Caenorhabditis elegans: one gene and its partner. The protein of the gene in region 2 purifies or fractionates together with the protein of the main gene of each other region. This does not show direct contact. Each region holds a gene or a part of one and is shown on either strand. Other genes may lie near its edges.

Evidence for each region. The genes of interacting proteins can lie anywhere in the genome.
Region 1: the proteins of natc-1 (region 2) and daf-31 fractionate together in Caenorhabditis elegans (co-fractionation; one large-scale study listed by BioGRID). This does not show direct contact.

Annotation. Positions count from the first base shown.
Region 1 is NC_003282.8:8,288,655-8,292,155, reverse strand, and holds daf-31 (N-alpha-acetyltransferase daf-31), read right to left. Parts: upstream 1,884-3,501; 5' UTR 1,880-1,883; coding exon 1,733-1,879; intron 1,681-1,732; coding exon 1,421-1,680; intron 998-1,420; coding exon 856-997; 3' UTR 660-855; downstream 1-659. Other genes in the region: K07H8.2 (SLC41A/MgtE integral membrane domain-containing protein), read right to left, coding at 321-424, 512-571; nucl-1 (Nucleolin homolog 1), read left to right, coding at 2,638-3,250, 3,297-3,501. UniProt on the Caenorhabditis elegans protein: Catalytic subunit of the N-terminal acetyltransferase A (NatA) complex which displays alpha (N-terminal) acetyltransferase activity. Plays a role in regulating larval development, metabolism and longevity.
Region 2 is NC_003283.11:8,460,414-8,464,172, reverse strand, and holds the start of natc-1 (Protein MAK10 homolog), read right to left. Parts: upstream 1,815-3,759; 5' UTR 1,774-1,814; coding exon 1,704-1,773; intron 1,658-1,703; coding exon 1,518-1,657; intron 1,473-1,517; coding exon 280-1,472; intron 230-279; coding exon 6-229; intron 1-5. Other genes in the region: dnj-22 (J domain-containing protein), read left to right, coding at 2,066-2,266, 2,312-3,001; T23B12.6 (BTB domain-containing protein), read left to right, coding at 3,758-3,759.

The DNA of each region.
Region 1 (3,501 bases), on a different chromosome or scaffold from region 2:
AATTCTCTCTCCGACCTGTCAAAAAGGATCTCATTTGGTATGGAAAACTCGTGTAACACCACTCTCAATCTATTTGTTTTATGAGAGCAGAGGGAGAGGCGATGAAACGATTCGACCAAATCGGATTTGCGTTGAGGTTAAACTGTTTCTCCCTCCATAATGTGTGAGACCGAATGATTTTTGAAAACAATTCCATGTGTCTGTTCAATGTTGAAAATACGAACTCGGTAGTGAGCCAGAATTTTATTTGTTGAAATGTTAGAAAATAGTGCTACATTTTCAACAATGAGTTTTTTTTCGAGAATAACCGAATCACTTACATAACTCTGGAAAATAAACTTCCTCCTGGTGTAGCTGTTTCTGCGTCCATTGATTTACCGACATCTTCAAGTGCAATTCCCAATTGATCGAATGTTGTTAATCCCTGAAAAATTTAGATTTAAAATCTATATTTCATCTGAATCACTCAAAACTATTAAAAGGAATAACAGAGTTTTTAATAAAAACTTACTTCATGAACAGCTGATTGATAGTCCTTTTTGCCATCCCCTATTCCACCGCCACCTTTCATCTAAAACATTAACTTTAAAGGTCGAAATAAATATTTACAGATATTTGAATACAGAAATCAACTGCTTATAACATCTACAAACCATTTTAATGCTTTAAATTTATTAATGAGCTTTCAAAGGGGGATCAAAGAGATTATTCAGGGGAAAACTTAAATTTTTACCTAATCTAAAACCAGAGGAGGAAACGAGAATTGAAAGAAAAGAGATCCTCCTGAAAGGGGAGAACAGAGAAAGTATCAGAATGAACCAGTTGGAAAAGGCAAAAATAAACTTTGATAACGAATTAACTGCGATTTTTCTTTTTATCGTCAGTGGTTTTTGCAGTGGTATAGGCCTCTCGATCTGCTGGCTCGATGTTCCGTTCTTCTGCCCATTTTGCGAGATCGCGACGCATAGCGTATGCATCTTCTCCATCCGCGTAATATCTGGAATTTGTCATTTTTGTTAATAATTAGGGTTAATAAGGTTCTAAAAGTTATCATAATTTGCAAATTGAAGTATGTTTCTTCTGATTGATGCCAAAGTTTAATCACCTCGCTCGCATATTTTTGTTTATTGTTTTAAAAAAGCGCCACGTTATTAAACGTAATTATTTTTCGAAACATTTTGTCCTTTCACTGATAATCACAATAACCTTTTTCAATTTGAACTTGACTTGGAACAAAAATTAAAAATAGGTGAACCAAAAAAGAATACAAAATTATTTAATTCCATCACTTCTGTAAAAAGTATAACGTTGGAAATCGAACGGGTGATTGGGAAACGTCGATTAGAATTTTTTCAGTTGTTCATCGAGGGACGAACTAATCCGCGCCGAGAAATGAGGATTTATTCAAATTAATACTTACTTTGGCTCTGTATCCACAATTTCGAATTTCAGTGTGTTCTTGTATAGATTCAATGCGGCTCGGTTTGATACACGAACATGAAGCGATACGTATTTAGCGTTGTAGGTTTCGACCATGGCTCTTGCGGTCTGATCCATCATTTTATTAGCCAATCCCAGACGTCTGTAAGATCTTTTGACGGCCAAAGAGGTGATATGACCATGTGGCTCCTCTCCTGGGTCTTCTTCCATTTTGGCGAGAACATATCCAACAACATTTCCCTGAACAACAATAAATGTTTCAAGTCAAGATTTGCATGAGAATAAAAAATACCTTGTGATCTTCAGCAATATAAGAGAGCTGCGGCCAAGAAAGAGCGTGATAGAAGTAGTATTTCATTTGATAATTCTCTGGAAGGCACATAAGATTCGCATTTTGCATGCTCATCAAATCGTCCACGCGAGCACAACGAATGTTCATCCTGCTGCAAAGATAGAGCAGTTGAGTAAACGGCACAAAAAATTCGGAAGCGAATGCAAAAGGAGAAAAAAATAGAGATTAATGGAGGATTTGCAATATACGAGCTTGTAAAAAAGTTATAACTCGAATTCGCCGAGGGGCAATACACCGTAGAAATAGAAACGTGGATAAGGTGGCACGTGAAACTTAAGTTTTTACTAAAACAATTAGGAAAGAACTATGTATCGCAAATGACAGAGTTTTGCAAATAAAATATTTATATTAAACTATTTTGTTCAATTTTAAAAGAATATCACGCAATATAAATACGAACAAACATTCTAATTGATGAAAACGAATTCTAAAAAGTGTATAATTGACAGTTCAAACGGTTTTGATAACAAACAAAAAGAAATGTACGGAAAATCCAGTTTTTATTGATTTGTCGAATTGTTGAAAGCCGTTGCAAGCCGGCTGCCGCCAGCAAGAAAATTAACGTTTAAAGGCGCATGCATTTATTCGAGAGATCGTGGCGAGACCTGCGCCCGCTTATCGATGAATTTCGAATTTAGAAACATTCTCTTTGTGTACTTTTTCATGTTTATCACTGAAATAAATCGCTTTTCTACGTTTTTTGAAGAAATTTTCTGCTTAAAAATTACTATAATGCATAAAATATCGAAATATATCATTACAACACATTTGGTCGCTGTTATTTCCTGATTTAACTCTAATTAGGACTTCCTAACTTTATTTTATTTATTTCAGGTACAATCAAAATGGGTTTCGACTCACCAAGAGGACGCGGAGGCGGAGGCTTCCGCGGTGGTCGTGGTGGTGGCAGTGGCTTCACCCCACGTGGTGGCGGTGGTGGATTCCGAGGTGGAGATAGAGGACGTTCTCCAGGCGGATTCCGTGGAGGCGATAGAGGACGTTCATCAAGCGGATTCCGAGGAGGAGATAGAGGTCGCTCACCAGGAGGATTCCGTGGTGATCGTGAAGGTGGATTCTCCCCAAGAGGACGTGGTGGAGGCTTCCGAGGTGGTGACCGTGGTGGATTCCGAGGTGGAGATCGTGGAGGATCTCCATGGCGTGGAGGAGACCGCGGCAACTTCCGTGGAGGTGATCGTGGTGGCTCTCCATGGCGAGGAGGAGATCGTGGTGTAGCTAATCGCGGTCGAGGAGATTTCTCTGGAGGGTCCCGTGGTGGCAATAAGTTCTCCCCTAGAGGAGGCGGTCGTGGTGGCTTCACACCTCGTGGACGCGGTGGAAACGATTTCTCACCGCGCGGAGGAAGAGGAAACTTCCAATCTCGTGGGGGAGGCAGCCGAGTTGGTTTTAGCGATAAGAGAAAACAGTATGATAGTGATGGAGATGACGACGAGGAAGAGGGTATAGTGCTGATTTTAGATTTATTTGCAATTATTCAATATTCCAGAAGTCCCGAAGAAAAAGCTTGCCACCGGAACTCCGTTTGCAAAACAAACAAAACCAGTAGAAGACGATTCTGGTGAAGACGAAGAAGATGAGGAGGAGAGTGATGAGGAGCCACAACCACCAAAGAAAACTGCTAAGAGTGCCATTGCTACGGCTGCTGAAGATTCTGACGATGACGAAGAGGACGATGATGAGGAGGAGGAAGA
Region 2 (3,759 bases):
CTTACCAGTAACCATTTTTCCGCTAAGCAATACTTCATCAGTTCGCTCTTCCAGTCGTCCAGCATATGAATGGATTTGACCAAGATCTTCAATGGCCATCTCAAGACGATCTCTTTGACGGGATAAATTGCATCCAAAACTACCATAGACGGTGATTGCGAGTTTTGACATGTGATTCAAAAATAACACATATAGACTTTGAGCAGTTTGATCTTTGTAAACAGGAGATCTGAAATAATGAGATAAGTTCGTGATGTATTCTTGTTGAGAAGTACTCACACTCTATCAAGAATTTGTGGGCAGAAGCAGTTGCTCAGTGAGTATTCAACGGCGTCAGCAATTGATCGATTCTCATCACCACACAGATGGTTGTCGACTGGGAACATGCAAATTTGAAGAAGAGATCTGGTGAAGACGCATGCATTCTGACCGAAAGTTCTCGCAAAGTAGAACAAATAGTTCAAATCTTTTGAAGTTTTTGGAGTGACAATGCATAGGTGATATATTCTTTCAGCACACTTCACCCACCAATCAGCAGCTTCTTGTCTTGATGGAACCTTGATTTTTCGAGGGAAGCATGCCGGGATCATTCGTATACAAGTTTTTGGTTCATATGCGCCAAGCCATAGGTAGTCACCATCACCATCAATATTGTCGGGTGCTCTTCTTCCTAATTTAACTGTTTCCGCATAAGCCTTTGTGACCTTGCACAGTCTTTCAGCCAAAATCGAGGCGAATCCAAAATTGGGCTTGAATTGTTTCATATCATCTTCATCTTCGTCGTCGCCTACATTTTCATCATCATTTTGATCAGTTTCATCTGTTGCTTCATCATTACTTTTCTGTTCTTTCTTCTCTGTGGTTTCCGATTTTGCTTCACTTGAAGGCGTTGGATCAGACGTGGATTCTTCTGATTTTTCGTCAGAATTCTCTTCGGCTCCTTCATATTCTTTTTCGTGAACATAGAAATCCCCCAGATGAACTTTGTGATCGAAGTTAGGATCTTCAATTTCTGGTGCAACCAATAAGCCAATAATTTCCAAAAGCATAATAAACATTTCAAGACGGGATGCAACAGCACAGCAAATATCGTACGCCTGTTTACTGAATGCTGACTCTCTCCACTTTCTTCCAGTAGTACCGAGCAATGTAACCTGTTCTCGCATAAGCTGAACGACGACTCTGCGAGGAGCCCATCTCTGATGACTGAAGAGCATTTGTGGATTGAAATCTTCGGGTAACTCTTCTAGGTTACCAACACTGTTGATAAGTGCATGAGCATTTCGAATGAAAAGATTGACGCCGGATGCGAATGGGTGGAAAACGGGATGTTTAACAAAAGTCACATTTGAAAGCAGCACGTTTGTCCAGACTGTCGATCCAAGTGCACTTCCTTCGAGCCAAGCGACAACCATCGCTAACGTACTATCCATAATTGCAAGTTGAAAAGGATAATCGTCGGCGTAGAGTCCCTGAAATTATTGACTTAGTTTCGATAATGAAATTTGACAAAATACCCCACTAATCGCTTCTTTCAATGTTTTAATGTGTTTTGATCCTACTCCAACGTCCATTTTCGGTTCTCCCAGTTCAATTGCTGACATGACATCTGAGAGCCGAAAATGCTCTGTGGTTACCAGTTCGCCCAATCGCAAGCCTTAACGTTTTGAGAAAAATTATAATATCCAACCTATAGAAATTACCATCGCAAAGTTTAAAAAACGTTTTGGAAACGTCTTCGCTTTCGTTTGGAGATTCCATTGCACCAGGCATTGGACCCGTAAAGCTGAATATTAGAAAACTTTGAAGAAATCTGAGAAATGTTAAAAAATTAAGAACAATGTCTGATAATGGGATTTACGGTAAACAACATGCACCTCGTTATTTTGGAGTGTCGTAACAGAGCAAACGCGCTCTATGGACAATTTTAAAAAACATTTATTTTCGAAAGAATTGAAACAATTTTTTGTCTTTTTCTAACTTTTCAGCTCTTTCTGGATTTTTTCTATGATATTTATATTTTTCCCGTTTCAAATTCGAAATAATAGTTTTTTTAAGGTTCAAAATGCCACTCAAGCCCGGTGCAAATCCCTACAAAATTCTCCATCTCGAAAAGGGATGCACAGACAAAGAAATTCAGAAGGCATATCGTGCACAGTGTCTTAAATGGCATCCGGACAAAAATTTGGATAATAAAGAAGAAGCCGAACGTAGATTCATTGAAGCCAAAGAAGCATTCGATTTTTTATATGATAAAGAGAAACGAGTACGTTTTTACTGTCGCTGGTCAATGTAATACTTTATTTTTCAGGAAGAATATGATAATCGAGAAGAGAGAATTCGAATGGCTCAGGAACACCATAGTAAACGAATGGCTGAAGCAGATGGAAAAAGGAAAAAGTTAATTGAAGATTTAGAAAAAAGAGAAAAGGAGTTTTCCAATGGTGGAAAACGGTCAGCAGATGGATCAACTCCAATGACAGCAGCACAACAAGCTAAAAAGAAGAAAACCGATCAAAGAAACTTTAAAGAAGAAATTGAAGCAATTCGGAGGCAGTTGGAGAAAGAAGTCAACGAAGAGGTGAAACAGAAGGCAACATTGATGAAAACAGAAAGGGAAAAGCATCAGAAAAGTCAAGAAAAATTAACTCCTCGATTACTTTTGAAATGGAAAACATCAGAAGGATTAGACTATTCTGAAGACGATATTCGAAAATTATTTTCGACTTTTGGAATCATATCTCACATATCTTCGGCAATAGAGAAAAAAGATCGACGGAAACGAATCCTCGAATTTGAGTCGGGAGCAAATGCATGGGGAGCTGAACTTGAAACTGGGAATGCTCCGATGCCTGAAATTACGTGTGAATGGTTACAACCACCGGTGGAAACTGTGAAGAAAGCTTCGGATGAGCCAGTAAAATCAACTAATACGGGTGCCAACAATTTGGAGCACATGTCTTTGGACGATCTCGAAGCACAAATTATGGGTGGATTCTAATATTTTCATGTTTTTGTTTATTTTTATATAATTATAAAAATAAAACTTAGCTTATTTATATTTATCTTCAAACACTTTTCGATTGGTTTTTCGTGTAAGTTCCAATGTATTTTTCTATTGAACATAAACCTCGGTTTTCCCATTTGCGACTCATTAAACACAAAAGATTGCCGATATTAAGAGACGCAGACGTGAAGAAAGTGTGTCACGACGCTCCACAATCCCTCACCCGACAACCTCATTTCGTTTCGATTTTATCTCGAACTTTATTTCTGAACATTTAGAAGCTTCCACGCTTTCAAATGGCATGTAAATACTAAACGATTTCCAATTAAATTGGTTAATGAATCTGTTTTGAAAATGAAATGCTATGAAGAATTTCAAATGTTTTTTCCCAAAATAAAATTTTTAGATTAAAAAAGTTTATCATAATTTCAGAAGATTCTGACATGCCCTCTTAAAGGCACATGAATTTATTCAGATGGGTTTCTGCGCGCAAAAAAGTTTATGGTAATTTCTTTTCCATAAATCAGACTATTTACCTCATCAAACCCCAAAATATAGTTTTTTTTCAATTTCATTCAATTTACCGTTTATCAACAGATCATAGGTTAAAAATTGCCAATCACCTGTCAGTCCACCCATTCTCGTCCATTTCCCGTCATTATCATTGTTCCATAATCACCCGTTTCCCCCAGTTTTTCTTGTCTTTTCCTATCAACATTTACCATATGTTTAATTTTTATTTACAGAAAGAT